Drosophila melanogaster: one gene and its partners. The protein of the gene in region 3 interacts with the protein of the main gene of each other region in a pairwise test. Each region holds a gene or a part of one and is shown on either strand. Other genes may lie near its edges. The genes, in order: Cpr, Ubi-p5E, sturkopf and Jheh3.

Evidence for each region.
Region 1: the proteins of sturkopf (region 3) and Cpr interact in a protein complementation assay, tested with the Drosophila melanogaster proteins (one study listed by BioGRID).
Region 2: the proteins of sturkopf (region 3) and Ubi-p5E interact in a protein complementation assay, tested with the Drosophila melanogaster proteins (one study listed by BioGRID).
Region 4: the proteins of sturkopf (region 3) and Jheh3 interact in a protein complementation assay, tested with the Drosophila melanogaster proteins (one study listed by BioGRID).

The regions. Positions count from the first base shown.
Region 1 is NT_033779.5:6,336,224-6,346,662, reverse strand, and holds Cpr (cytochrome P450 reductase), read right to left. Parts: upstream 7,828-10,439; 5' UTR 7,538-7,827; intron 6,839-7,537; exon of another isoform or gene 6,609-6,838; intron 4,909-6,608; exon of another isoform or gene 4,777-4,908; intron 4,506-4,776; 5' UTR 4,490-4,505; coding exon 4,314-4,489; intron 3,937-4,313; coding exon 3,594-3,936; intron 2,965-3,593; exon of another isoform or gene 2,854-2,964; coding exon of another isoform or gene 2,722-2,853; intron 2,505-2,721; coding exon 2,380-2,504; intron 2,320-2,379; coding exon 1,718-2,319; intron 1,633-1,717; coding exon 984-1,632; intron 921-983; coding exon 776-920; 3' UTR 383-775; downstream 1-382. Other genes in the region: Pez, read left to right, coding at 8,521-8,605, 9,392-10,439. UniProt on the Drosophila melanogaster protein: This enzyme is required for electron transfer from NADP to cytochrome p450 in microsomes. It can also provide electron transfer to heme oxygenase and cytochrome b5. May function to clear the olfactory organ (antennae) from accumulating chemicals.
Region 2 is NC_004354.4:6,274,808-6,282,427, forward strand, and holds Ubi-p5E (Ubiquitin-5E), read right to left. Parts: upstream 4,841-7,620; 5' UTR 4,329-4,840; intron 3,947-4,328; 5' UTR 3,942-3,946; coding exon 2,337-3,941; 3' UTR 2,069-2,336; downstream 1-2,068. Other genes in the region: CG3566 (uncharacterized protein), read right to left, coding at 276-363, 1,421-1,489, 1,563-1,651, 1,725-1,832; CG11700 (uncharacterized protein), read right to left, coding at 7,471-7,620.
Region 3 is NT_037436.4:1,309,638-1,316,381, forward strand, and holds sturkopf (sturkopf), read right to left. Parts: upstream 3,741-6,744; 5' UTR 3,619-3,740; intron 3,569-3,618; exon of another isoform or gene 3,485-3,568; 5' UTR 3,276-3,484; coding exon 3,083-3,275; intron 3,024-3,082; coding exon 2,293-3,023; 3' UTR 2,082-2,292; downstream 1-2,081. Other genes in the region: Ctr9, read left to right, coding at 1-156, 220-677, 991-2,071; Herc4 (HECT and RLD domain containing E3 ubiquitin ligase 4), read left to right, coding at 4,373-4,453, 4,521-4,698, 4,836-5,072, 5,249-5,975, 6,042-6,303, 6,364-6,687. UniProt on the Drosophila melanogaster protein: Probable serine lipid hydrolase associated with lipid droplets. Appears to lack or have very low cholesterol esterase activity. Appears to lack triglyceride lipase activity.
Region 4 is NT_033778.4:18,858,892-18,865,475, reverse strand, and holds Jheh3 (juvenile hormone epoxide hydrolase 3), read left to right. Parts: upstream 1-3,397; 5' UTR 3,398-3,549; coding exon 3,550-3,950; intron 3,951-4,010; coding exon 4,011-4,215; exon of another isoform or gene 4,216-4,283; coding exon 4,284-5,084; 3' UTR 5,085-5,101; downstream 5,102-6,584. Other genes in the region: CG43071 (uncharacterized protein), read left to right, coding at 283-336, 421-552; CG43070 (uncharacterized protein), read right to left, coding at 943-992, 1,052-1,133, 1,188-1,333, 1,382-1,484; CG43069 (uncharacterized protein), read right to left, coding at 2,351-2,590.

The DNA of each region.
Region 1 (10,439 bases), on a different chromosome or scaffold from region 3:
ACTACTACTATATATGTACCTTTTGAATATATCTACCTAGGATTTTTACAAATATGTATTTAATGATTTAACATTTCGTTCATTTGTAAATACAAATAATCTGGTTTAAAGTTTCAAAAACGTTGCCAAAAGAATATTTATATTATATAAAAACAAACTACCAGCTATGTGGAGTGTTGTAACTTTACAATTGCGCTAAATTTGTGACAGGAACTTTAATTATTATTCAGACAAAACGTATGCAGCACTTATATTTCCTTTCAGACAAATAAAATCTCCATTTATATATATAAAAATCTATTTCTTATGAAAAAGTATTAAATTTCAATTGGAATGTTCCCTACTTATCCTTATCCTATTTCGAAAACATCAAACACACATTATTATAGAAGTCAACCGTACTTTTCTTTATTTATAAAAATACAATTGCAATGTCATTGTTTAATTGCACAACATGTTTCGTTTTTGTATTGAAATCACCAAGAGAATACGAAGTAAATTGCTCGTATAAAGGACTTTAACTAATCTGCACTCGTACACAGCTACTTAATCGTTAACTTGTTACTCCGCTCATTTCATTACTTAGATTCCATCTCAGTTTGTCCCATCAAACAGTCCAGGGTCAAGCTAGAGTCAATTACACTAGACATACACTTAATCGTTACTCATTCGTTTGTTGAACTGCAGCATGAAGTTCCCAAACCAAAAATTACGCTTACATAGCTTAGTGAACTAGAAAACTTTACGCTTATCATCGGTTGGCTTTTGGATCAGATTAGCTCCAGACATCGGCCGAGTAGCGCTTCTGAGCCTCCATCTTCTTGATATACTGCACGGCGTCAGCCTCGCTCATGTTACCCTTAGTGGACAAAATTTTCACTAAAATGTTCCTAACGTCCACGGCCATGTTCTTTGCATCACTGAAATGGGTAGAATGGTATGGTGAGAATCTTGTGTGCTGGCTGATCCTCTAGCTTACTTACCCGCATATGTAGAAGTGCCCCTTATTCTCGCCAATCACGTTCCATATAAGATCTGCGTCCTGCTCGAGCAGATGCTGCACGTAGACCTTCTTGCCCTGGTCACGAGAAAAGGCGGCCTTCAGGTTGAGAGTGCCCTTCTTAACCCACTCCTCCAACTCGGATTCGTAGATGTAGTCCTCACTGCGCTTACGGCAACCGAAGTAGAGAATCGACTCGCCCACGGTCTTGCCCTCATCGCGAAGGAATTGTCGCTCCTGAATGAATCCGCGGAAGGGGGCCAAGCCAGTGCCAGGACCCACCATTATGATAGGTGTCTCTGGCTTCGTAGGCAAACGGAACTGCGACTTGCGGATGAATACCGGAACCTTTACTTCCTCACTGCCCTGCGGCTGCTTGTTCTTCAGATATGTGGTGGCTACGCCCTTGTTGATGCGTCCCGTCGGCGTCTTGTACTCCACGAGAACGGCTGTAACGTGGACATCAGTGGGGTGCAGCTTAGCAGACGACGAGATGGAGTAGTAACGAGGCTGCAAGCGGGGCAGCAGCTCGCAAACGTGATCGATGGGTGGGCGACAGGATTTGATGTCCTCCAGAATGTGGACGATGTTGCGACAGGCGTCTTGGATCCAGCTCTGGTATTTCTCCTTTCCTGCAATGCAACATTCATTAGTATATGTTCGTGGGAGTTCCTGTTACTGGTACAGCAGTAATAAGTCTTGTGAATAATTTCTTACCTTCGGGACTGATGGAGGCCATGCTGCGCAGCAACTCCTTCTCCTTCTCGTCAGTACAATACTCAGCGAGCTCCTTGAGGATGTGTGTGCGGGGTATGGCCGTAATTTCCAGGTAGTGGGTCAGAGCGGTGCGGTACGTAGTGGGGCAAGGGAATGGGTGCTTCTTGCTGCTGTCCGTATCGGTGTTGATCAGCGAGAACACAGTATCCAGATCGGCGTTGCACAGCTGGCCGAGCTTCTCCACCAGACTCTTGTCGTTAACAGGGAACATGGCCACATGATCTCCGGCATCGTAGCGCATCTTGGAACCCTCGATGCTCAGCTCAATGTGCATGCAGGAGCGGCCACCGCCCTTGTGCAGCTCGCGGTTCACCTTGATGGGGGCCAGGAATGGGTTCTTGGCGTCGAAGGGCGGGCGCTGGTTCTGAATCGAGTGCAGGCGGGCGATCTCTCCCGTGTAAATGCGGTCAGGCTGCACATCTGGCTGTTCTAGCAAACGGTACTGGCGGATGAGCACTTCCTCGCCGCCGCCCTCGATGCCGAAGTGATCGCACACGGCGGGCCAGAAGCGATCCTTCCACGTGATGAAGTCATCCTCGATGCTTTTGGGGAAGTATCACTTGAGTATGGTTCACATTGTTGGCTACACCTTCATCACTTACTTGGCATCATCGTCGCCCAGTCCCAGTTCAAAGACCCGGTTGGCGCCCAGCTCCTCCAGTCGCTTGTCCACATAGATGGCCACCTTGTTGTAGTGCTCATAGGTCTTGTTGCCCAAGCCAAAGACCTGGAATCAGATAAGAGTGGATTTAGTAACTATAGAATGGAATTCAGTTAACTTAACTACTTAAAATACATGATGCATCTTAGGAACGCGAATTTCAGAGCACGAATGAACAACTAAGCCATCTTTTTTAATGAGACTCATAATAAGTTTGAGTGTTATCACTTATCAGTTTAATAGTTTGAACTATGATTGATTGTAGAACTGAACTTCATACTACCTTCCATTCAATTTTTCTTTTCGCGACAGCTGTTCTGTTACGTAAACTATTCAAAATGCTGAGCAAATTCAACAGCTTTTGCTGGCGGAACCTGACGAACAGGTGGGCAGATGTGGCGATCGAGCTCTGCATTTTCCGGCCGACATTTGCTGGATTGAACCGCAGAATTTCCACGGCAATTGTAAACAAATTGCGCAAGAACAGAGATCGACATTGAGCACATTGTTTTTCAAGAAGCAACTAAAAATTCCGTGCGACTGCTGCCAGTCAAAAGCCGACTGCTACGGCGCGCGAACCTGAACGACGCATTTTTGAGCTGCTAGTTTGGCGGGGAATTCGAATTGGGCAACTGATAAGGTTGATAATATAGAACTCCTTTTTGGTTTACTACCAGTTGGACTGTCGGCAACAATAAAATATGCTATATTTAACGTTGTTTAAAAGTCAACGAAACTAAGGTGTATGACACCTCCAAGGCTACCAAGAAACGATTAGATTTCTATCAATTTGTCTACGCTGAACTGCTGGCATTTGGGAGATGGGGAGTAATAATAGTAGGTTTATTATCAAAAACAAACTCTTCCGTGCGCGCTACACTATCAGGTTACAGCCTATCTGTTAATTAGGATCCGCCAATGCCATTTCAAATGTTTTCGTTCCGCTTACATCAGCTGTATTAAAACACAACAAACAACTCAAAGCGCAAAAATACGGGGAGATAGCCAAAATTGCGATTGGGCGTGGAATAAAAATCACTTATCAGTGGCACAATGTTTTGATAAGAGGAACGGACTCCGTGTTTGGCGAGGGGGACTCGTGTAATCAGTATGCATGCAGATAAGACCGTTCCGTGTGATATCGCTCGTACTCACCGCATAATTTAGCCCGCTCAGATCGACATCGCCGCTGGTGATCCACTCGTAGAACTCCATGGCGTTGTCAGTGGGATCTCCCTCGCCGTAGGTGGCCAGGCAAAAGACCGCCAGCGAGTTGTCGATGTCCTTCAGCTGCAGCAGCTCCTCCATGTCGCATTCCTCGGGATCGGCAACCATGCCCTTCAGACGGTAACGAATGCCCTCCTTGGCCAGACGGCCGGCGAACTCCTCGCCGGTTCCGGTCTGTGAGCCATAGAAGACGACCAGACTGCGTCCGGATGCCTTGAGCTTCTTGATGAACGAATTGTCCGACGCACTGGTGGTGCACACTGTGGTGGGTCTGAAGAAGGTAAAGATATGCGTTAAAATCTCAGCCAAATTTGAATCTTATCTTAACACGCAGGTAAACACTCAGATCAACGAATGAATCACACAATGGTATTCACACATTCATTTGCGATGTGTGAATCATTCAGCGTCAAATAATGGCCGATCGATTCCAACAAATCGGCGGAACATATGGATCTGTGACGGAATGAACCGAATAGATCTAGAGGGCATTTCATTCAAGAAGCAGTTTTAAATATTGAATTGTACGCGTGATATGCATGTTTTTTGAAAGGTTTATCAAGAAACTGACTATTCAATTCAAGAATTGCCATGGTTTTGGACTTCGGATTAGATTGCTTTAGATTGCTCAAATTTAACTATACTTACTGTATGGAATAGCTCCTGGTTGGCTCCTCCTCCTTCTTGCGGCTACGCAGGAAGTAGAAGGCTGCGCCGCCGATTAGCACCGCCAATAGGGCCACGTCCAGCAGTCCCAGGAAGGGTTCGTCGCCGCCGCCGCTGGGAATTGCGGCTGCTCCATCAATCGTTTGCTCGCTGGCCATGGTGGTACGTGTATGACTGCAAAAAAAGGGCACAGAATTCACGGCGCTTTAGTTTTCGCTTTGCATAACATTGGTCTAGCTCCATTTGCATGTCGCGCACTTTGGACACGCACTCTAATGTATTCCACGTATACCAGCGCTGGCGGCGTAGCATCGCCTGTGCGTCTAACGGTAGTCCGTCCGCTTCCGCACTTGTCTTAGCGGTGCAAGGTACCGCTCTAGCTGGATGTTCCGCCAGCGCCGCCGGTTGACATTGAAATCGCGCATCTGGTTTTAATCGATCGTACCTTGGGACGTTCCCGTTGCACTGACAACTACGACTACTCCGTCGATCACTTGCAGTGCTGCACTGGTGCAATTAAAGCTATGAATTCGATTGGATCCGCCTCTGTGGCGACGCAACGTGTGTTTCGCGTTAGGGAGCACTGCTCACTGACCGCCGGGAGCAACAGGTTTTATGCACGCGCTTATCGAATGCCGTCGCCGGTCGAGAGATATGATGAAAACGAGTAAAAGCGTTCGAAATGCGCTGTTCCCAAGCAAATACTCTTTGAGCGGCGCAAAATAACGAAATTTGATTTCCAATCACTCGATTAACACCTTTACCAGCCGTTGTTCCAGGAAATCGCCAATTGCACTAAGCAAAGGCTTTGGTACTTGTCAATGTGAAATCGGATTAAAATCATCCCAAACAAAATACATTCCCTTTCATTAGGATTCAGTTTATGAAGTACTTAAAGATTTTAATGTACATATACGGTTTGTATACGTTTCTTTACCCGAATTTATAAAAAAAAGCATAGGAAATGCAAATTGAGAGGGTTTACTTAAGCTAGAGTTTGGGTTTTGAAATGCACACTTGGAGTTCAATGAAATTCGCCCCGACTGCTTTGAGTTTTAACTAGTGCCGAAAGCATTTTTACTAGAACTCTCAACTTAAGCAGTTGGAAGTTTGAGCTGATCCCAGGTGTTATCTTTTGTTTTGTGGGGGCTTAAGGAGCTCTACTGAATTTTCACCTTGAATTCGGGTTTGACTTAATGCTTTAATGTTGCTAATGCGCCGCTACGTGCGTGAACTTTGTATAGAGTCGCGTAATAGTTCTTGTTGCTGTGGTCAGCAAAAGGCAGAAAATAAATATTAAACACATGCGAGGCATATGCAAATCGACGCCAGTATCGTCATTCTCGTCCGATTTCGAGGAAGGTATGTGTTCGACGCTCCCGATAACAACCAACACTGACAACAAGTGGAGGTGAACATAAAATTGGCGTCTTTTTATAGGTCACCCATGTGTGCTGTTCGATTGACGGAATGACGACAGCGCAATGATTAAATTGTGTTAGGAAGCACACATATATATCACGAAAACCAACAAATGTTCCAAAAATGTTAACATAAATTCGGTTTCTTTAGTTTTTTTTACGAAACAATAGATCCTAACTCGTTCAAATGTGTATATGTTTCCTCCAAAAACACTCTTTATTTGAGTGCTTCTTTTTCTAGTTTACGACTAAGTAGTTAATCTAAATGAATGAGATGAATGATCTTGGTTATTTCTGCTTAGCCATCTATTCAAACAAAGTTTACGATCTAGTCACAACAAACGCCCATCTAGTATCACCCTACACACTTGTAATGTGCGTGATAACGCTTAGAATCTCGCTTGGCATATGTGATTTTAAAATTCCCTAAACACGATGACACTCTCGAATTACTCGTCCGAATCGACGGAGAATTATAAAGTAAGCATGACTATGCATATTTATTTCGCGCCCAAGTGGCTTTCGTTATCATAAACCTAGTTTGGCTGTCTGGAAAGGATGAAATGTAACTCCGCGCTCACTTTAACCGAAGTCCATTAAATGTAATCCCATTACGGAACCTGCCCTTTTAATGGTTCTTTAATTGGAAGAACTAATAGTCTAGCTTTAATAGGTAGGTAACCCTATAATGGGGTGTCATAACATATAATATAATATATTTATTTAGTTTGTCTTTGAACTTGAATTTCAGAGAACTAATTTTTATCCATAAAAGTTCTTAGGAAGTGTACAACAATGTACAATTTTTATATTTTAACTGATTTATATATATGTAAATATGTATGTACGTACATACCTAGACTTGCAGTATCTCCTACTAAGTTCTTAGTTCTTTCAAAATGGAACGATTTTACAGAGTTCAGTTATACAAGGCAGCAAGAGTATACACACTTCGGCTTTTCGAACTAAGCCACTTTCAATTTCGTTGTAGTAAATTTTGATACTAGGATTTTGTTTACATCGTCATTAATGTGTGTGTGTTTAATTAGCATAAAACAATATATCGGTTGGCTTTTTTCACAAATTGTTTTTAATAAATTGGAAACTAAATGCAACGCCAACTCCAATTGGAAAATGTGTAAAGTTGGTGTACTTAGGATTTTCAAATGTTGATTTTTTGAATAAGGAAAGGCAGGTTAACGGAAATTAAGAACATAGCTTCGTCGCTCATATCGAGTGCTTACTGTACGGGAAGCAGACAGTCGACAGCTGTTCTCAGCGGAGAGCCACGAGCAGAAAAGTAACTTGATGGCCGATTGGCGACCCGAGTCGCGTTTTTGGTTATGCAATTCGGCCTACGACTCGGTTTGAGACGTGAAAGGCGGCGATACAGCGTGCAAATAGCGCAAATTAATAACAGAAGTGAATTAAATTAAATTACACGCAGCGCGGACGGAGTGAGCGAGAGCGCACTATCGCACGGGCGGCGGCGAGGCTGTGCGAGAGCGAGAGGGAGAGGGAGACTGGGCGAGCGCAGCAACAGGTACTGAACTTTAAACTCGCTCGCAGGGCTCTTCTGTGTGTGTGTGTGTGTGTGAGCGAGCGAGTGAGCGATACGGTTGCTCCATCATCTGTCCTCGTCGCTGCAACCTTGACCGCCAATGCAGCGCTCGAAATATCTAAGCAGCAAATTAATTATGGACTGGATTTCGATTTTGGTAATCGGGTTTTGCTTTTTGGATTTCGACAGTGCGTGGCCTTGTGATTCGGCTCCTCGAAACTCACCGATCGCGATCTCCGACTGCGCTGCTCCTAATCCTCTGTAGATAGACGACGATCGGTGGATGTGGATGTGGATTTGTGCCCCGTCTCTGGTGCTCTTCCTGTTGCAGCCCCTCTCAGCAGCTTGGCAGACGTCAAAGCCCTTGATTTAAATTCGCTTTATTCAGTTACGCAGCGGGGCGAAGCCACGATCTTAATTTTAATTCGCTTTATTCGATAAAACGTTGACGGAGGGCGGCAAGTGCAAAGGGGAAGTGACGACTACCACGGCAGCAGCAGTACTAAATTACTGAATTCCAGAGGGACCGTCGTCGAATCGCGGTGTGGATTTCTCAGTTGCGCGCACTTTCCAGCACTGGAGTTGGAACGGATAACAGAGCTATGCCAGCACGCCACCTATGTGTCCAGTAGCTCTGTTAAGTTTGATATTTTACTGTTCGCTAGAAACCGTTATTCTCTTGCTGTGTACAACGAAGTATTCGTGTGTATCAGTGGTTTTAATATCTTTAGGAATTTTATTTAATCACTGCTGACTGCATTGTTATATATTTTAAAATATAAACTGTTTTGTTTCAGTTACATATTTCTTGGTTGCACTTGTTTTCTTTAACAGAACTAAACCTATTTTCTTGCAGCCCACTGCGCAAAGACATACCGATAGTCAATGCCGCCTATCGATCCATTCGATGCCAGCCACCGAGATACTCAGTCAGCACCTGCGTATCGATATCAGCACTTCGGTCTCTTCGTTTTATTTCTCGTGAATTCCTTTATTTATTGTCGTTAACTGCCCAATTACTATCTTTAACTTTACTTAACCAATACGCGCAGTGCTCTGGTTTGCGTGTCTAATCAGCTGATTCAAATCGGCTAATTCCAATTGAGCAATTTACTCCCCCAAAAAAAACCTGTGGTGTCGATGGTGCTGCCGTTTTAGCCACTTTTGTGAGCCCAGCGGAGCCCCGGTGGAGCAAAATAGTCGAAAAATGCCATTGAAATTCTTGAAAAAGTGTCGCCAGTACAATGTTACGTCCAAGAGTTTGTTTGTTATATCAGTGCATCACCTGCTGGGTGAGTAAGCCCCACATTCCTAGAGGCGCTACGCCCCCCACAACAACAACAGCGACAGCAACGACAACAACAACAACAGCAATAGCAACAGTGGAGACGAGACAATAGAAACAACAAGAAATCGGTGACAAAGCCACAACTTAACAGCTGCCGTCTGCCATTGCAATTGGGATTATTTAATTGGGAATGTGCACAACGATTGTCATGCGGCGCCCACTTCCAGTTTAGCTGGAATTCGCCTTCCAAGGCACAGACCACAAAAATGCCTTCACTTGTTGCATTCTAGTTAACAGTCGCTGAGTTAACAGAGGCGCACAGGACACATAACAGCGACCGTTAATTCTAAAACTAACAGACTGCCTATGAGAACTTCCTAACTTTGCGTACTTCACATTTTGTATATTATTTACTCTCGATTTTGGGCTAAACAAAAGCATGTTTTGTAGTTCTTATACACTTAACCGAATGTACTTATTTGGCAAGCGAACTGAAGACCTTGACTCAATTAAAACCACCCAAATTTCTCCAACCATCAGAAAGGTTTTAGACATTAGGCCTACGTTTCGTTAGTTAGGAAATACGACAGATGAGAGAAGCCAATTGAGCGGCGCCGCCACAATTTCCGTCCATAAAACGTATAAGGTCTCGAAAGAGATTATAAACTTTATTTGCATATTTGCGCGTGCGACGGGCAGGGCCAAATTGTTGTTGTGCGGCGAATTTAGAGTGCTTGGAGCGACTTAGGCCGATGTTTGAAGCACGTTTTCACTCTTACCTACATTGCAGACACATCCAGCACAGTGGACTGCACGATCAGCTCGGAGAGCAAGGGACAGGAGTGCCTGGACAACGTTTGCCAACGTTTGCTAATCCAGCAGCCGGAGTTCTTTGGACTGCGCTACCTGGTCAAGGGCAAGGACAAGGAGGACGAGTTCAAATGGATCGACCTGGAGCGCTCGCTCAGTCGGCAGCTGGAGAAGTATGCGGCGGGCCCCAAGATCTACTTGCGCGTTCGCCACTACGTGACCACTGGCGTGCGCCACTTGAGCGACGAAGCCACGCGCTTTTACTACTTTCTGCAGCTGAAGAGCGACATCTACGAGGGCCGCATCGCCTGTGACATCCGCACGGCCATACTGCTGGCGCTCTACTGCCGCCAGGCGGAGTACGATAGCTACCAGGGCGACAAACAGAGCAAGGACTATCTGAAGAAGTCGCTGGTCCTGCCGCGCAACATGCAAGGCCTGGCCAACGATGACAGCATGCTGGAGGGACTGATCGTGGAGGTCCTGCAGCAGCAGGCGGGCATTGCACATCTGAGTCAGAGCCAGGCGGAGGAGATGTACATACAGTGCTGCCAGCAGCTGGAGGGGTATGGGGAGGAACGTTTCGCCGCCAAGGACACGCTCGGCAATGATTTGTTGCTGGGCCTGGCCATCAACGGGATGGTGGTGAACGCGGACAACGGTCGGCAGTATTTTCCATGGAAGGAGTTCCACACGGTGACCATCGACAAGCGAACGATTAAGATCGAGCAGAACAAGCTGGATGGTGGCGGCAGCATCGTGGGAAGCTTTATATTCAGCGAGGCGGACACGGCACGTTACTTCTGGAAGCTCACCATTAGCCAGCATAAGTTTTTCAAGCGCTATATTGACACGGCCACGCCCTCGAGCCTGGGAAGTGGTGCGGATGCGGAGAGTGGTCCGTTGGGCGTTGACAGCGTTGGTTATGTCGACTACGATTACAATGAAGCGGCGGCCGCCGAGCAACTGCAACAGCATCATCAGCAGCAGCAACATATGCAGCAGCAGCAACAGATTCAGCAGCAGCA
Region 2 (7,620 bases), on a different chromosome or scaffold from region 3:
AGCTGAGACGCCGGTGGGCCGGGGAGCAATCAGGTTTGTGACGACGGAAGAATGAAAAATAAATTTCAATTTTTTCTGACCAGAAATATACCGCCAGCTCTTCTTACTAATGGGAATTCAAGATTGGTTTTATCCGCAGCTTTTATGAATAAAACGCCCGAGTTGTGTAATTTAAGCAATTTGTACAATTTATTTCGTGTCAAATGTGTGAGGAAATTGATGTTCCCAAATTGGGGGAATATATCTGGAATCTCGTAATGCAGTCCGGCCGCAGACTAGTTTCTGGCCACACCGCGTCGGATCACATAGACCAGCGAGATGCCGATGAAGGCGGCGCCCAGGGCCAGTGCCACATGACGGCAGCTGTTGCATGGAATAGAGAATATGAAAGGCGGTTTAAATCAATGGGAGTATCATGGTCAGGATAAGGCACTCCGACCGACTGGGTGTCACAACAACAAAACTGGGTGCACTTTGGTTAGCTAGCTAGGATTACACGGTTTTGCAGGCATTTCTAGAGGGGTTGATTTAACTTAGGATGCAGCATTGCTTGGGGGTGGCGGCGGCATCAGTAGGCGTGGCACTTTACCAAGGCACAGAACCAAGAATCAAAATAAAAACGCAAGTCAAGGTGGGGTGCCATTCACAAAACCAAAGAGTGACCAATTACAGCGTGCAAATTGTTGGTATTCTAGATTATCACATTTATATATGTACATAATTCCAGTTGCTTGACGTGTGCTTTGGGTTAATCATGATGGGTAATATATGTACACAGGTCAGTGGTTAGAACTTACAAGTCCAACTAGCTTTTGTAGAACCTTATTTTCGTGCTTGAGAAGGAATTAAATCTTGAATGGAGCAAATATCATACATGCAAGTTGAGATTCATTAGATTCATTAAATATTAAGTATTGTGGCTTTGTTAGCGGTTGGTAAAGAAAAAGTTGATACTCTATATGGGAATATAAATAATTGATATAATTTAAGGAACACTTCTGTATCATCATTATCTTCTTCAGGGTATCCAATCGTATCAAAGGGTATCAAAGTAGTACACCAAAAAGTGTACGAAATAGAGACTTTCAGGACACGTGAAGCGTGAAACTTTGGGGGCTTCGAGGCAATTAATGGATTACATAAGAGTTGGCTAATTGTACTTATTGATTGAAACGCAGGCCATGCTCATGCGAAACCGGTTGTGGTCGGAATAGGAGCTTCATGCATTAAGGAAAGTGGAGCGTACGAAATGATGATGATGAAATGCCTTATCAGGAATACTGGTGTTCTAGCGAGATAAGGAGATCAATCCGTGTGGGAGCGGAGAAGGGAAATCCGCAGGGCTTTCTTTATTTACATGATGATATGGCATTTTGGCTTGGTTGGGTCTTTGCATGCACTTGCTGGACAGGATTCTCACCTAATTGGGCTTTTCTTCTTGATGTCCGCAGCAGCCAGGTCACCAATGTAGTATTTCTTCAACATCTCTCTGAAAAGGCAAGTGGGGAAGAAATGTGAATCAGGTGATCCAGGCGCACTGGCTATAAGATGGACTCTCTAACCTCGCCTCCGAGCTGTGACCCACGTCATTGAAGGCCTTGGTGGCATCGCGACCGGCCTCATCCACCAGGGATTCCTCGCCACCGGGATGCTGGAGATAAGGGCATCGAATTAGATGGATTCGCCACCCCCCCCTAAAACCAACAATCTGCATCGCCACTTGCCTCGAGACGGAACTTGGTCACATCGTAGACCTTGTTGTCGATGACCACCCACAGATCCGTGGCTTTGTTGTGTTCGTTGACGGTGGCCAAACGGATTTCCTTGCTCATCTTGCCTGACTGCGCCTGCCTGCTCTTCTCCGCAAATTTAACTAAATAACGCAAGCTAACAGGTTTTCGGACTATTCCAGTGTGGCCGGCTCCACTTTTCGTTGGAGTCAGCTGGTCACACAAAATACCCCAAATATACCACATAAGGTACCTAAGCAATAATTCCAATGTACCTGTGGTACAATTCCAGTAAAATACAATAGAGTATTACAAATTTAAATATTCAAATTAAATCCACCACTCCAACGCCATCCAATGTTTATTGCAACTTTCTATCAAGAATCCCCCACAAAATTAAAAACCCTGGGAAACACAGATAAAAACTACATAGAGTATTACATTGAACACACAAATTGAAAATTTTATTCTTCGAATACCAATAATTATTGTGATTGATTATTTTGTGCCTTTGAATAAACCAATTTACTAAAACTTAGTATGAATTCTTGAGTTATGCCCTGTGGCACAACTAACTAACTTCAATTTTTATAAGGGTGAAAAAATCTAGATGGCGCCACCACGCAGACGCAGGACCAAGTGAAGGGTCGACTCCTTCTGGATGTTGTAGTCGGACAGAGTGCGTCCGTCCTCGAGCTGCTTTCCGGCGAAAATCAAACGCTGCTGATCTGGGGGGATTCCCTCCTTGTCCTGGATCTTGGCCTTAACGTTCTCAATGGTATCGGATGGCTCGACCTCCAAGGTGATGGTCTTGCCAGTGAGGGTCTTAACGAAGATCTGCATGCCACCACGCAGACGCAAGACCAAGTGAAGGGTCGACTCCTTCTGGATGTTGTAGTCGGACAGAGTGCGTCCGTCCTCCAGCTGCTTTCCGGCGAAAATCAAACGCTGCTGATCTGGGGGGATTCCCTCCTTGTCCTGGATCTTGGCCTTAACGTTCTCAATGGTATCGGATGGCTCGACCTCCAAAGTGATGGTCTTGCCAGTGAGGGTCTTAACGAAGATCTGCATGCCACCACGCAGACGCAGGACCAAGTGAAGAGTCGACTCCTTCTGGATGTTGTAGTCGGACAGAGTACGTCCGTCCTCCAGCTGCTTTCCGGCGAAAATCAAACGCTGCTGATCTGGGGGGATTCCCTCCTTGTCCTGGATCTTGGCCTTAACGTTCTCAATGGTATCGGATGGCTCGACCTCCAAGGTGATGGTCTTGCCAGTGAGGGTCTTAACGAAGATCTGCATGCCACCACGCAGACGCAAGACCAAGTGAAGGGTCGACTCCTTCTGGATGTTGTAGTCGGACAAAGTGCGTCCGTCCTCCAGCTGCTTTCCGGCGAAAATCAAACGCTGCTGATCTGGGGGGATTCCCTCCTTGTCCTGGATCTTGGCCTTAACGTTCTCAATGGTATCGGATGGCTCGACCTCCAAGGTGATGGTCTTGCCAGTGAGGGTCTTAACGAAGATCTGCATGCCACCACGCAGACGCAAGACCAAGTGAAGGGTCGACTCCTTCTGGATGTTGTAGTCGGACAGAGTGCGTCCGTCCTCCAGCTGCTTTCCGGCGAAAATCAAACGCTGCTGATCTGGGGGGATTCCCTCCTTGTCCTGGATCTTGGCCTTAACGTTCTCAATGGTATCGGATGGCTCGACCTCCAAGGTGATGGTCTTGCCAGTGAGGGTCTTAACAAAGATCTGCATGCCACCACGCAGACGCAGGACCAAGTGAAGGGTCGACTCCTTCTGGATGTTGTAGTCGGACAGAGTGCGTCCGTCCTCCAGCTGCTTTCCGGCGAAGATCAAACGCTGCTGATCTGGGGGGATTCCCTCCTTGTCCTGGATCTTTGCCTTAACGTTCTCAATGGTATCGGATGGCTCGACCTCCAAAGTGATGGTCTTGCCAGTGAGGGTCTTCACAAAGATCTGCATGCCACCACGCAGACGCAGGACCAAGTGAAGGGTCGACTCCTTCTGGATGTTGTAGTCGGACAGAGTGCGTCCGTCCTCCAGCTGCTTTCCGGCGAAGATCAAACGCTGCTGATCTGGGGGGATTCCCTCCTTGTCCTGGATCTTGGCCTTAACGTTCTCAATGGTATCGGATGGCTCAACCTCCAAAGTGATGGTCTTGCCAGTGAGGGTCTTAACGAAAATTTGCATATTGCCTGAGTGGAGAAATGAAAAAGGGAAAAAGTTGGCTTGAGTAATGGAAAGTGGAAGGAAATTGATTTTCTGCGTAGTGACCCAATTCCCGTGACCCAGAAAAGTATTTTAGCATACACATACAGAAAACATTATTGGTTTTTTCGTTAATGTTTTCACAGCTTGCATTATTTCGCCATGAAATGGCAAATTTAGTTTTGGTGACTAATCTCTAACTTCGTTAAAAAAAATCCCCTGGAACTGGGCATACACACACACACACACACACACACACACACACACACACATAGATAGAAGCATGGAAAGCACCGTTTTCTGCTTGCTGCATCGCCATTTTGAATGCAACTAAGAAAAACTATTAAGCAATTGCCAAACTGAACTCACCTTATTTTCTTGTTTCGCACACAAAAGTTAATTTATTTCTTTACTGTTGGTCTGCACTTTTTGAAATATTCAAAAACTTGCTTTTATTTTACTTGCTCGGACGTCCGCTCTCTACGACTTTTTCACAGTTTATGATTCGTTTCGCAGCCCCACGCTGGTATTTATAGGCAGCTGACTGGAAAGTCGTCGCCTGCTCTCTCGCTCACTCTCGGGCGGTAGGTTACTTTGTTTTCGCTCTCTGCCACTTAAAGTGACCGTTTCTTTTGTCTAGTCTATTGGAAATGAGATTTCGCATTGACAAGAGTATTTAACACATGAAGGCCAATCAATTGGCTAGCTGCAATACGCAAAATTGGGCATTGAAAACAAAATGCGTAGTGCATATGTGCACTGCTTTTATCTCGCTCGCTCTCGTGAGCGAGAGAGCGGAGTTATCGATAAGTTGCCTGACCCTCTTTCCAACACTAATCTCAGCTGTTGAAGTGTATGCGTTTGTGTGTGTATTCTAACAGAGGGAGGTGTATAAATTTGTATATACATACATATGTATGCATGTAGACGCACAGACATCTTCTTGTGACGTTCTTTGTTTGGCGAGTTAATCGACCTTTTTTTGTTTTGACGCCGCCTGGGAGATTTGTCTTCGCTTTGGTCATCAGCCTTTAGACAAGAGAGCCCAACAATTTAAAATTTCCCACCAACCCACTCGCACATAAGCCAGTATGCGTACAATGCTATTTCCATATGTACATATGCATTACAATTGCATCTGGAAAGTTCCAGGAATGGAAGGGTCTGATGAAATCTGATGTATGCTGATTTCAGCAGCTTAACCCTTGATGTAACCCCTTAAAATAGTAAACGTTATTAACTCTTTAAGTACAAACTAAAGATATAGGATAATATATACAATTATTCAAATAATTGTCATGAATTTCTCATACTAACAATCCAGTGTACATGTATTCCCCATGATATGACAAAAAAAAAAAAACAAAATAAAGTTTTTCCTTCCAAAAAAGTGAAGTTTTTTTTGGAATTGGTAGCTTCTTACTATAAAATAGTTCCAAGTTACACGAGATTTCATTAAGTTTGCTTTATATTAAGAAATAAATTAATGTATTTATGGATCCAAATATAAGAAATGTTTTACAATTATGGAATTCCACGCAGCTGGAGATGCCCAGCGTGTTCAGCGAGTGCGGGCAGTTGGCGTTCGTGCAGGTGTTGCAGCCCCCCAAGTGGGGCATGTCGCTGAACGGCGGATGGTTGTAACAGTACGGGCAGAACGGATACGAACGCCCCTTCACGCCAGTGGAGAAAGCCAGCAGATCATCCAGCGGGCACTTGAACTCGCGATACACCTTCACATTCCAATGGGCAGGGCGTATGTCTCATCGCAATGAGAGCAGTGCAATCTTGCCGGTAGAGCAGTGCAATGCCCGACTCGGCCAGCGGCGAGAAGGATACCTGAAACAGTGCGTCCATGCTGTCGATGTTCTTCACAAAGTACATAAACTTCAGCTTGAAGATCTTGATGGCGTGTCGCAAAACATCCTGAAAGTTAGCCGATCCCTGGGCAATCAACGTCAGCATGCGCTCCACCTCCGTTCGCATGGTGAACGTGGTGATCTGGGGGGATTCCCTCCTTGTCTAGGATCTTGGCCTTGACGTTCCCAATGGTATCGGATGGTCCAACCTCCAAAGTGATGGTCTTGCCGGTCAGAGTCTTAAAGAAAATTTGCATATTGGCTGCGAGTGGAGAAATGGAAAAGGAAAAAAGTTGGCTGAGTAATGGAAAGTGGAAGGAAATTGATTTTCTGCGTAGTGACCCAATTCCCGCGACCCAGAAGAGTATTTTAGCATACACATACAGAAAACAAACATTATTGGTTTTTTCGTTAATTTACAGTAAATTTAGGTTTGGTGACTAATCTCTAACTTAGTCAAAAAAAAATAATAATAAAATCCCCTGGAACTGGGCATACACACACACACACACACACACGACAAGTGTGTTCATGCTCAAATTCGAATTTGGATTAATTAATTTGAATTAAAATTAAAATTTGAATTAAGAATTTAAACATGTTTTGATTCTTTCGGAGCGGAACAACCTCTTAGAAAGGGAAAAGGCTTAAAGGTCGCGGACAGACAACTAATCATCCTCTCGCCGTTCTGATGCCTAAGCAAAGGCTCTGGTGTCCGATTAGAGGCGGCATAAACCTCCACCGGTAAAACGCCAGGGAGAAATCCGTGGCCCACAATGGATCCCTTTCTAACGTTGGTGACCAACAAGCCGTAGTCCGCCCATTAGATCAGATGGACAGAACAGGGGAGGCAGTGCCCGATCCCAACGACCCGTTCAGGAGGAGCTACAGCCTATCGAGATCCCCTACAAGAGGAGTCCGAACTCCAATTCACGGAGCGAGGGGTGAGCAAGCAGCCGAAAACTAGCGACTGCAGTGCAGCTGTAGATGTGGAGACTTTGGCCCCTACAGCTTCTATGACTGCCACAAGCCAGAAGACGATGGACTTCATTAGCGTGCCTCCTCAAGGGCGGGAACAAAGTCCCCATCACGATCTCCGCATCGCTCGTCGGATCTGACCATGACCTGCTCACCGATAAAATACTTTGACTGGCAGTGCCGGTGAGCTTGACAAGGACAGGAGAGAGATCAGAGATTTTTGTTTAGTACGTAGGCATAATTCTCTAGCTGAGAGTTATGAATCGTGCATGCCATCTACGGACGGTGGACGGTATCTTTGAATTTCATTTTCCTGCCGTATATAAAAAAAACACACAGATGCATGGAATGCACCCTTTTTCGCTTACTGCACTTGTTGCTTCGGCATTTTAAAAGCAACTAAAAAAAACTATGAAACACTTGCCAAACTAACCGGAATTTTTTTCCTGTTTCGCACAGAAAAGCTAATTTATTTCTTTACATTTGGTCTGCACTTTTTGAAATATTCAAAAACTTGCTTTCTTCACTTGCTCGGACGTCCGCTCTCTACGACTTTTTCACAGCTTACGATTCGTTTTACAGCAGCGCGCTGGTATTTATAGGTATAGGTATAAGTTGACTGGAAATTCGCCGCCTGCTCTCTCCCTCACGGTGGGTTAATTTGTTTTCGCTCTCTACCACTTAAAGTGACTGTGAAGGGTCGACTCCTTCTGGATGTTGTAGTCGGACAGAGTACGTCCGTCCTCCAGCTGCTTTCCGGCGAAAATCAAACGCTGATGATCTGGGGGGATTCCATCCTTGTCGTGGATCCTGGCTTTGACGTG
Region 3 (6,744 bases):
AATTTCGAAACGATCCTCAAGAATCCGTCTACTTCCACCGACGCCTACTCACTGATTGCTCTGGGAAACTTTTCGTTGCAAACACTGCATCAGCCGAGTAGAGATAAGGAGAAGGAGAGGAAGCACCAGGAGAAGGCTTTGGCCATATTCAAACAAGTGGGACAGATTAAAATAGACCAATTATAGCTCAATTTGTAACGAAATGCATCCGCTTTCCAGGTTCTTCGCAATGATCCCCGAAATATTTGGGCCACCAATGGAATCGGTGCCGTGCTGGCACATAAGGGATGCGTGATCGAGGCGCGCGATATCTTCGCCCAGGTGCGCGAAGCCACCGCCGACTTTTGCGACGTGTGGCTGAACATTGCGCACGTTTATGTCGAACAGAAGCAGTACATCAGCGCTATTCAGATGTATGAGAACTGCATGAAGAAGTTCTACAAGCACAACAACGTCGAGGTAATGCAATATCTGGCAAGAGCGTATCTACGAGCCAACAAGCTGGTCGATGCCAAGGCAGTGCTACTTAAGGCCCGTCGAGTTGCTCCCCAGGACACAGTTCTACTCTTCAACATAGCAGTGGTCCTCTCACGTTTGGCCATGGCCATACTCAAGGATGAGAAATCTACTCTGGAAATTGTGCTGCAAGCTGTCCATGAACTGGAGCTGGCTCAAAAGTAAGTGGTATCCTTGCTCTCTTAAACTGCGCCTATCAAATATTTTCAAGTGGTTATTAGAGTACCAACCAAGTGATAACGTGAATTTGATTATATTTAGAAGTACAGCAGAAATGAGTAACCATTAATGGCATTTTAGCTTATCAGATCAGATTAGATATTAATGCAAAGCAATCATCATGAACTGCTAAACCGAAGATTGGATTAGATTAGCTGATGATTTCCTTGATCATGGTCAATAACTATTTCTATGAATATGTTTTGTTTCGTGCTTAAAATCTCACTCACAATATCCCACCCCAATCTCTTATAGATACTTCCAATATCTGTCCGTGCACGGGGATAAGAATCGCTTCAACATTGAGGTGGCTGGCATTGAGGCAAGCACCTGCCAAGATCTTCTCTCTCAGGCCCAGTACCATGTGGGCCGTGCACGTCGCATTGACGAGGAGGAGCGCTCGTTGCGCCGGAAGCAGGAAGAGGAGCGCGAGGCCTTCAAAATTAAGGTGGCGGAGCAGCGCAAGCGGCGCGAGGAGGAGGCAAAGACCTCCAGGGACCAGTTGTTAGCCAAGCGGCAGGAGTACGTGGAGAAGACCAAGAACATGCTCATCATTGCGGACGCTCCACCTGAAAAGGAACGCAAGAAGGGTGGTGGGCGAGGTCGTAAAGATGACTACATCTCCGGTACCGAAAGCGATAACGATGGAGCTCGTCGTGAGGGAGAACGTCCCTCGAAGAAGAAGGGCAAGGGGGAACGCAAAAAGGGTGGCGGTCGCAAGCGCAAAACGGAGAAGTACGAGAGCGACAGCGAGGAAGAGCCAGGTGCCAGTGGCAAGTCGGGAAAGAAGAAGGGCAAGAAGCCGAAGCCGGTTAAAGAGTCCAAGGAGAAGCTTTCTGCCAAGCAGCGCCTCAAGGTGCTTTCCAAGGAGACGATCTCCACCAGCGAATCCGAGTCTGACGGCAAGCGCAGCAAGAGCAGAAGTAGAAGCAGGAGTCGAAATCGCAGTGGTAGCCGAAGTGGCAGTGCCTCTAGAAGCGGCAGTGATCGCGAGGCTAGCCGCAAGCGCAGCAGGAGCAGAAGTGGATCTGGATCTGGGAGTGACAGTGATGAAGCAACTAAGCGGAAGCGCGCCAGGAATCGCATCGAATCTGGCGGGGAATCGGATAGATCTGGGTCCCGTGCTCGCTCCAAGTCGAGTTCCCGTTCAAGATCTCGATCCAAGTCCGGATCTCGATCGAGGTCTCGCTCCAAGTCGGGATCCCGTTCGAGATCGCGCTCAAAGTCCGGTTCCCGCTCGAGATCCCGCTCGCCGTCGGGTTCAAGATCCCGCTCTCGCTCTGGCAGCCGATCCAAGTCCGAATCCCGTAGCAGATCAGGGTCCCCGGAAAAATAACGCACCTCTCAACCGTGTTAAATCACTTTTGACTATATTTAGAGTTGTCTTCGAGAGCTGCAAAAAGATACTAATAAAAACGAACTAATTGCCACACAAAGGCAGTGGAGTAATTGCTATTGGTTTGCTGTTCAACCGTAATCCGGATTCCCAAGTCTATTGGCATGGATGGATTAGGTAATGGACAGGGCTGATTGTCTGGGCCAGGTCAACAATCGACTTCAAACACGTCTGTGCTGCTGGATCATGTCTCTTACGATTACAGCCATAGGCTGCGAGTGGCGCAGGACGAAAGCGTGGTCGATCTTCTTGGTGTCCAGCTGGGCGTCCACCTTGGGGTAGTCTTTTTTGAGCTGGTCATAGTAGGAGATTGGTACCCATCCGTCGGTAGTGCCGTAGTAAAACTTGAGGAGGTCCAGGTTCTGCTCTACAATCTCCCTTTGAATCCCGCGAACCCTGGCCATCTCATCGTCGGCCAGGAAGACCACCTTCTCCGCTACCGATGGTTTGGAGTACTTTAGGGCGGTGCCCAGAAACTGTCGTGGAATGGAGAAAATCAAGAAGTAGATCTGTATCAGCATCAGGCGCAACCACACGGGCAGAAAGTTGAAGAAGCTGAAGAAAATGTAGCCAAACACGGAGTACAGGGGCATGGCCACCTTGGTGAACACCCATCCATTGGGCGACTCCATCATCCGCTCGACGGTGGGGAACAGCATATAGCACTTTTGGATGCGACTCCGTATCCGCTCGTTTTCCAGCAGCTGCAGGATCATCCACGCTCCGATGGAGTGCCCAATCAAGTGGATCTTGACATCACTTGGCACGTATTTCTCGATGAAGGCGATTTTATGCCGGATTTGTCCGTCCAAATTGAAGAGCTCCTCGTTGCCGCTGAGTTGAGGAACCTCCCGAATACTGGCCTCTGGCGGATCATCATGGCCAGCGTGCCCTGGAGGGAACATCAAGTGTGCTATTACCGACTCAATGTGGAAACGCCAGCACACTCACCTATCACCCAAACTGGAAGATCGCCCAACTCCTTTTGCAAAGTGCCTGCGAACTCTGTGTAGAAACCTGGCAAACCGGGATTGCCAGTTATGCAGATGACGATCTCCTTCTCGGTTATGGTCTCCTCAATCCACCTGCCCCATGTGAATATGTGGGTGGGAATGGAGTTGATGTTGACGTAGGCCTCCTGCATATTTTCCGCTGCTGTTGGCGTGGCAAACTGCGCTGAAAATCAATCGGCACCTGTGTTGATCCCACTCTTTTCACACGCGATGAGTTGTCTAATCCCCGTGGCAACCGGTTTTCCTTTGTCCAACCACCTCGGCTGCAGCCTTTCACGAGTTTCAAATCTTGAGGATTGGCGCGGTTTATCCCCAGGGTTGATAGCTCTGATAAACACTGCTATGTGTTTCGGCCAATTGTTTCCAGCAAGAATGGACAAAGGTCACAAGTTCAGCGGCTTAAAAACGGCTGATACAGAAACCAGGGCGGCAAGCTATGCCAAAATCAGATGTTCTATATTAGCGGATACTTACCATGATAACGATTGCTCAGACAGAGAAAAAGTGTAGATAATTTTGTTTAAAAAAGAAAAAAACCAAAATGCATTAACTTTAAAAAAAATACTATGGCGTAAATTATTATTTGTCAACCTATTGATATCTCTTTACAGTACTAGAAGCTTTTATAAATTTCATATTAACTTTTACCTATCATCATTAAATATTCGAAAGTACTCCCTAACATTAGTTACCTACGTATACATTTTTTATTAACCAAAACTTATATGTAAAATCGCAAATTGTTTCTTTTTTCGGAAAAAATTGAGAAAACATTTTGATATTCGTGTTCAGCATAAGTTCTAGAGAATTATCCGATCTTAAGGTTTTTCAAAGCGGATCTTAAAAGTCCGCAAGCGATGCAGCCCTAGCTTAAGCCCATTGTCAGGGCTGCCAACGTGGGCAATGTGGCCCTATCCCAACCAGTTGGCATCGCCACCATTATTTATTGGTTTTTTGTTGCTGGTTTTTGAGTTTTTATATTTTTTTTCTAGAAGGCCTAAAATTTATAGAGCGTTGTAGGTAACAGGATTCAGGATTAGACTTAGATTCTGAAGGCACACCCATCGAAAGCTTGACGAGGCATGAACCGAGCAATTGGAATCGGGAGCAAGTGGACACAAAAGAATGTAGCTAACAATTGGGGACATTCTCGAAAATTCTTGTAGCACCAACAAGTAAATTATTATACCCAGAACAACCGAAGGAGCTATTGGGCGGATCCAGAGCAATGGCATCTGGCAAAGAGCTCTATTGCTGGGGAAGCACGTCACATGGTCAATTGGGACTTGGCGGAATCGAGGACGAGCAGGTAGATAGATGACTTTCGGATATAAGCCCACTGATATTACTTTTGTATGCCATTGATTTCCTCACAGATCCTCACACCTAGTCAGATACCCTGGACACCGGACACTGCTGTACAGCAGGTCGCCTGTGGACACCGACACACTCTCTTTCTGACCGCCACTGGAAAAGTCTACGCTTGCGGGAGCAACGACTACTCCCAGCTGGGCCACGATCTGCCCACCAAAAGGCCACGTATGTCGCCATTTCGTATGTAATCTTCATTTATCGTCTTGTCTGTCCACTCTCCACTAACTCCACCTCATCTCCATACTCACCAACTACGCGAGCCACTGCTGTGAACCGAGTCTAAACCCCGCAATCATCTTCCGGCCGACTTTTTGCAGTGCTTATCCCCGAACTGCAGGATTACGTGATCATCCAGATCTGCTGCGGCAGCCGCCACTCATTGGCGCTCTCCGATTGGGGCCAGGTCTTAAGCTGGGGCGACAACGACTGCGGCCAGCTGGGCCATGCCACCGATAAGGAGATCGTGCAGCTGCCCAAGGTTGTGCGGCAACTGGTCACAAAGACGGTGGTGCAGATCGCCTGCGGCAACAATCACAGCTTGGCACTGACCAGTTGTAAGTATGGAGTGAAATTTAATGGATTCCATTCACTAGATACACAGATACACATCAGAACTACTTGAAACAAGATAAGATAATTGTATTTCCCAAGTTTAGGGCATTACTAAACAATTCTTATCTAAAGCTAAACAACGATACCTTCCGACTAACATCATCCTTGACGTTTCTAGGTGGCGAGCTGTATTCATGGGGTTCCAACATCTACGGTCAGCTGGGCGTGAACTCCCCCAATGATTTGACACATTGCAACTATCCCCTCCGACTAACCACTCTGCTGGGAATTCCGCTGGCCGCAATTGCCTGTGGAGGCAATCACTCGTTCCTCATCTCCAAGTCCGGTGCGGTGTTCGGATGGGGCAGAAACAACTGCGGGCAACTGGGACTGAATGACGAAACGAACCGCTCGTATCCCACCCAGCTGAAAACGCTGCGCACCCTGGGCGTGCGATTTGTGGCCTGCGGCGATGAGTTCTCCGTTTTTCTGACCAACGAGGGAGGGGTGTTCACCTGTGGAGCTGGCGCCTATGGGCAGTTGGGTCATGGCTTTAGCTCGAATGAGATGCTACCGCGAATGGTAATGGAGCTAATGGGCAGCACCATCACTCAGGTGGCCTGTGGCAATCGGCACACTCTGGCGCTTGTTCCATCGCGCGGCAGAGTTTATGCCTTTGGCTTGGGTAGCTCTGGGCAGCTGGGCACGAGGAGTACCAAGAGCCTGATGCTGCCGCAGGTGGTCATCGGTCCTTGGGTGTCGCCCAGCGGATCAGCCCTGTTGCAATCCAATGATTCACAGGTCTCGTTGGTCATCCGACAGATTTTCTCAGGTGGCGATCAGTCGATTGTGACCACAACTTTGTTTGTAGACAAGGTGCCGCCCGAGGATTTCAGAAACTACAAGTAACTATAGAAGCGTGTTACTTTAGTATAAACATATAAAACTATAAACATATATCTACTTTGCAGCCCCAAATCCCAGATCCTAACCCTAACAGCAGAAGTCACCAAGCAGTGTGCTCAATGCAAGCAGGGCCTTCAAAGCGACATGGATCTACTGAGCTCTATTGAACTAATATTTAGAAGCCAGGCGTGTTGGAATGGTTCCTTTCTGCTGGATCACGACCGACACTTTGGATGCTCGGTTCGCAACCATGGACTGGATCTGAAAGCAGCCCAACTAGCATTCGACAATCTGCGCGCTGTGGAAAATGAAAGCATTAGGCAGGTGGTAAGTTTTCGCCATTACAAGCATCATTGGTATCTGTTTTAATCATTTCATTGTTTTCAGATCTGGGACAATATAACCAAGGAGCTAGTTGGTTCGCTGGTTTGCTCACCGGCAGATGTGGAGAGCATGCGATTATATCTTCTGCTCCCACTTTACCACGAGTTCGTCAACTCCAAGCACTACAAGTCACTGCAGGTTCCGTTTGCCAATGCCATATTTAAGCTAGCAGAGAACCCACGGAAAGTGCTGAACAAGTGGTTGGCCCAAACACCGGCTGAATACTTCGAGCATCTTGTCCAGAACTTCTTGCATGTTGTCATCCATATTATAAGTTTCAAAATGGGCTTGGCTGCCGCTAGTCCCAGCGCCGAAAGACGTCAACAGGTATTTAGATTTCAATATAGGGCCATACCAGTGTCAATTAATTCTCTATTCATAATC
Region 4 (6,584 bases), on a different chromosome or scaffold from region 3:
CTTAAGAACAATATCCCAACCTCCCAGCTTATTATTAACAATTAAAACATTAATGATTTCCCTTCGAAAATAAACGAAAGTTCATCCTTTTCCCAGTTCCACGGATTAATTTTAAAACCTCTCCGCGGCGACAGACAAAGAGCGATGTATGTTTGTATGCAGGCAAACAAAAAAAAAAACAAATATAAATATTTAATAAGTGATAATTGATTAAAAGCAGAGGTTGAGCAAACGTAAAAACAGTTTCCCATCAGCAGTTGAGTGCCGAGGCAGCCGAGAGAAATGTTGTTACAATCGATATTAATGAAAATATTGGCCGTTTTTTTGGTCTGCTGGGTGAGTGCGGCAAAGGAAAAATATACAATTAATCCGAAAATAAAAAAATATAAAAAAAAATATATATGCATATTTACTTTACAGCTGGGACACGTCACAGCCCAGTCATCTGCCGATTATATAGAGCTTGAAATTGGTTCAAGGGGTGAAGGTCCACCGGAAAAGACGGAATTTCCCTGGGGCAATGATGACCAGGATCTTGAAGCAACATTTTAAGTTTCTTAAGATTTTTTAAATTCTATAAATTGCATCATATACATCTCTGTTAAATATATTATAAAGAGAATCCAAGTCTTATCAGTAAAGTTACTTGTTATAACCAAAATTATACTATACTTTTGGGCCCATAGAAAAATAACTTACTCTTGTATGACTTAGTCTTAATTTAATTTAGTCAGTTATAATATATAAACCACCTATTGTTTGTCAAAACTGGCTTTATATAAAAGTAAACTCTTTCTACTCATGTATTAAATTATATCTTACTACTTTATAAATATATTCTATATCAATACCCATAATTCCCATTTTTAAATGAATGAACCTCCAAACATATTTTGTATACAGGGACCAAAATAATTACAATTTTTTACAACATTTTCTAAACTACTCAAAGTAATAACTCAGCACTACCAAAACAAGACTGACATGTGTTACTGTTGAAACACACTATTAGATGCCTCGAAAAAGATTTTTGAAAATTCTAAAAACTTACCAGCTAATGGCCAAACTGGGAGACAGACACACGGAAAAGTTAGGCTAATGAAAATTCCGTAAATAAGACATGTTCTTTTCTTCTAAAATGAAAACTAATTAATATACCGCCAGGATTTTATATTCTTAAACTTCACCTCATCTAATGCAAAGCATAGTAGAATCGAAGATACTATCTGACATAGCATTACGACAGTGATTCCCATAACAACATCTTTGTCAATAGTTCCGGCAAAAGTGTGATATTTGAACTGACGTCTCTGGTGATCAAATGGATAATTTACTGAGGGAAAAATATAAACATTAGCTGGCAAAACGTGTACTAACTGACCATAGCAATCCAGAATGTAGGCGTAGAAACCGAAACCACTCATTAAGTTCCACGAAGCCAGAGTTGCGATGACAAACCAACGTTGATTTGATCGATCTGGCATAGTGTACCTGCGTTTTTGTTCATAAAAAATGTATTTTTTTTTTTTAGTAGGTAAAATATGCTGAATAACTTTTCCAGGCCCGCCCCAATGGAAATCAATTTAGCGTCAGGTTCAATGGACTTTTACGACAAGTGCGTGTCAGCTGGATGAAAAACTAATTGCGACCATTAAGGCCACGCCCCCTCTTCGAGGGCGAGGCGGTTGCCAATGGCAGCGGCGTTGGTGCCAAACTTTGGCCGTAACTGGAGCACTCAATAAAATGTGAATTAGCCCGGCGGAGCCGGCATTAATGGTCCGCGATTCGGGTCCGCAATAGGAACCTCTCCATTTCCCCGGAAGGTGGCAGCTTTGACACGCTTCCAAGTATCAATGCGATTGTTTTTGCGGCACGCGAACAAACTTTAGTCTTATTTTTGTATGTTTTTCAACTGCAGTGCATCGAAAGGTAGTGAATTTGAGTCCTTTGACTGCGGCACGGTAATTGCGTTAATTTCGCTCGAATTACGTTTCCCATCATTGTTTCTGCCACGGCGAACCAACCACGCCCCCATTTGGCTGTCTTGCATGTTTGGCGGCACTTTTGTGGTTTTTTTTATCGAGTCTCCTTGCCCCTTGAGTCCTTCGATATAGTTGCATGTCGACAGCATTATTGGTGCCCTTACAATTTATGCGAATTATCCCCTACCTTTTATGCACCCAGAAATAGAAATGTGTAAAATTTAGACAAAATATTACCAAGTCTATGCATATATTTGCGATGGGTTTCTATTTTACAATTTTTATCTAATATTTTCAGTGTACAATGTCGCCTGCTAACCTCTCGCAGTTCACTGCCTCTATTAACTTGGCTTCATGGTCTTCGAGCACTAACATTCTTCTACAACATCGACGATGTCATTATCCTCCATGGCCAAGGAGTCAAATGTGTCCTCCTCCTGGATTTTCTCACCATCGAAGGCCAGGATCAGAGACTCAGTAGCAACTCCAAATGCCTGGGCATATTTTTGCCTAAGAAGTGCGGCCAAAGGTTGATCCGTTCTCACATGGCACCGCAGTTTAGGTAGATTTGAGGATAGAAGCCAAATGGTTTTGCTTTGATTGGCCATTCTATTTTACATTAGAATTACTAGGAGTGTATTTAGATAGTGATAGGTGCCACGTGGCCTTCTGATCGGCCGACTTCATTTCATTCATTTTTTGGAGCCACATCATCAGTGGCAGAAGGGCTGAGATTTATGATCAGTTGCCGGCGTAGCGCTTACCAATAAATAAGTTCGATAAGATAGTGGTGGCGAATAAGTAGCTGGGACTATTCTCAAGTCACCATCGCACTTGTCTCATATGGTACACACGTATGGGTCACCCTATCTCGCTCGGAAATCAATGGGCTATTCAAGGTGCAGACGCGGGCAAGTAACACAGTACCAGGCAGACTAACCGCAATGCACCTTGGGGCTAAGTCTATTATAAAATGCTGGAAATAGAAAATAATGAAAAAAAATATATATACTTCCTAAATACCCTTTGGTTAGGGAATTGGTATTCCTAAATACCCTTAGATAGGCAAGCTATCTAACTATCTAATTATATATTATAAGTACAAAAGTACAAAAAGTATAAAAGTATTATAAAGTACAAAAATTTCATTATAAAGTGCAAAGCTTTAACCACATTTAAATATATTTATACTTTATACTTAATTTCCCAAGCCCATTAACCTTTGAGCTGCGAGCAGACCATTATAACCAAGATCAAGCAAAGATCAATTTGACAGATCATATTGTGAACCACTGTGCACGATAGCCAGCGCTATCTAAACGAATTTATAAATATTATACGAACATATACTATAACGGCGACAGCGAATTTCGATAGAGCTTTGCGAGACAATTCGGGGAATGAGTATATGCGCCGGCAGTCAGTTCTTAAGCGGCTTTCTGGTTGCACGGTCGTGTTTATTCCGAATTCGGGTTAGGAATCACAAACCATTATCTCTTCTGGGAGGTGTACGAGGTGGCTAATTTAAATTCATAACGAGGGGGAGCTAATTGCGCCTGTGGCCAGAATGAAGTGCCTGATAGTGTTTGGTCTGATTGTGGCCCTGTTTGGTGCCTTCGTGGGCTATGGCTACGTGGTATTCACGGAACTGACCAAGCCCCTGCCCAAGCCGGAGTTCAAGGATGATACGTACTGGGGTCCCGGCGATGCCAAGGACTTTGTGCCCGACGAAAAGATCTACGAGTTTAAGCTGCAGGTGCCGCAATCGGAGATCGATGATCTGCGAAAGGAACTCAACCGCACGCTGAGACTAACCGAACCGCTGGACGGAATCGCCTTTGAATACGGATTCAACACCTATGCACTGGAGCAGTTTGTGGACTACTGGCGGGACAATTACCTGACCAAGTGGGATGAGCGCCAGGAGCTGTTCAACTCGTTCAAGCAGTACAAGACCGAAATTCAGGGGTGGGTACGAGTGCTTTTGTATAACATGGATGCCATGCTAAAAACGTAATACCTCCGCAGCTTGAATATTCACTATATCCACGAAAAGGTATCCGAGGAGGCTAAGGAAAAGAAACACGTATATCCTCTGCTCCTGCTCCACGGCTGGCCAGGATCGGTGCGCGAGTTCTTCGACTTTATACCCATGCTAACCAAGCACTCAAACATCACGGATTACGCTTTTGAGGTCGTGGCACCATCCCTGGTGGGCTACGGATGGTCCGATGTGAGTGTTATTTGTTTTTCAGTTGAATTTCTTCATTTTAATTATTATTATTATTATTATAACTTAAGGCTGCCACGCGTCCCGGATTTAATGCCGCTGAAATGGCCACTGTGATGCGTAACCTGATGCTGCGTCTGGGCCACAAGAAGTTCTTCATCCAAGGCGGAGATTGGGGCAGCATCATTGGCAGCAACTTGGCCACCTTGTATCCAGAGAACGTAATCGGTTACCACTCGAACATGTGCGTTCTGCACACGCCACTGGCCATTCTGAAGGGAATCTACGGCAGCTTCTTCCCGGAGAAGTACTTGCCGTCCAGATTCTTTGTGGATCATCACTTCCCCGTGTGGGAAAAATGGCTGGAGCTGCTGGAGGAAAGCGGTTACTTTCACATCCAGGCCACCAAGCCGGATACGATTGGAGCGGCTCTGACCTCCAGTCCCGTCGGCTTGGCCTCCTATATCCTCGAGAAATTCCAGACCTGCACAAATCCCGGCCTGAAGCAGGACTTTGGCGCCATAGTCACTGTCTTCGGCCTGGAGGCTGTGCTGGACAACCTGATGGTCTACTATCTGACGAACTCGGCCACGACAGCGGCTCGTTTCTACCTGGAGAACGTGTCCAAGACGTACAGGGATCTCCAGCTGGATCGTGTGCAGTCCCCGGTTCCCATGGGCTGTGCCCGCTTCCGGTTCGATCTGGCCTCGGTGACTGACTGGCAGCTGAGGGACAAGTTCCCCAACCTGACCCACTCGATGTACTTCCAGCAGGGCAGCCACTTTGCCGCCCTGGAGATGCCGGCCATGTTGTTCAATGATTTTACCGCCTTTGTGGGAAAAATTGGCCTACACGGCGAGAAGAGAAAATAAATTGTTTTAAGTATAATTACCAAACGGATTTTGTACTTTCGCTTGGGAATCGGGAGGCACATGAGATAGCTATTAAATTGGCAAGGCGACAAAAGGTCAACGTATTTTAAGTACGGTTTTGCAGTAAGGTGGTTGGGACCACCTCAGTACCACCATAACGTGGTTACATAATATTTAACAAATGTGGAAGGGAAATAGAAGGGGGTAAGACAAAATCTTTTTTAATTACATTACAATAAAACTAATAACTATAAATAGTAGGTATGGTTAAGAAGTAATTGCTTGTAATCCATGTTTGTAATTGACCGCAAACTAAAAAAATATTATTGATTCTTTATTTATATATATGTATATATGTATATTTATATATATACAGTCATGGTCAAAATTATTTTCACAAAGTGCATTTTTGTGCATGGGTCACAAACAGTTGCTTGTGCAGCAAGTGGGGGGAGGTGAAATGCAAAAAAACTTTTGCTTTTGCAAATTCAAACCTATGCAGAGTCAGATGAAAGAAGAATTGAAAAAATAACTGTTCCTATGCGCAAGGAAGAGGCAAATGAAGAGATCTTTATCAGTTGTCAGAAGTATTTGCACACGGTTTCGTCGCATCACAATTATTTTCACAACGCAATTTCTTCTTCAGTGATTGGTTTAGAGTGACAAGTGCCGGTTTGTTTGCTTAAATACATTTAAATTATTGAATAAAAATTAGATTTAATCATTTTCCTATTACAGTTATTAAATAAAATGCCCAAAACAAAAGAGTTAACAGTTGAGGCCCGGGCTGGTATTGTTGCTAGGTTTAAAGCCGGTACACCTGCGGCCAAAATAGCTGAAATATATCAAATTTCGCGTAGAACTGTCTACTACTTAATAAAAAAGCTTGATACAGTTGGCACATTAAAAAATAAAAAAAGATCAGGCCGAAAACCTGTGCTGGACCAAAGGCAATGCAGGCAAATACTTGGAGTTGTGGCGAAGAATCCTAGTGCCAGTCCGGTAAAAATTGCCTTAGAATCAAAAAATACAATTGGCAAACAAGTTAGTAGTTCTACAATTCGTCGCAGGCTAAAAGAAGCTGATTTTAAGACATACGTTGTTCGCAAAACGATTGAGATCACACCAACCAACAAAACAAAACGTCTTCGATTTGCGTTGGAATATGTTAAGAAGCCTCTTGACTTTTGGTTTAATATTTTATGGACTGATGAGTCTGCATTTCAGTACCAGGGGTCATACAGCAAGCATTTTATGCATTTGAAAAATAATCAAAAGCATTTGGCAGCCCAGCCAACCAATAGATTTGGTGGGGGCACAGTCATGTTTTGGGGATGTCTTTCCTATTATGGATTCGGAGACTTGGTACCGATAGAAGGAACTTTAAATCAGAACGGATACCTTCTTATCTTAAACAACCATGCTTTTACGTCTGGAAATAGACTTTTTCCAACTACTGAATGGATTCTTCAGCAGGACAATGCTCCATGCCATAAGGGT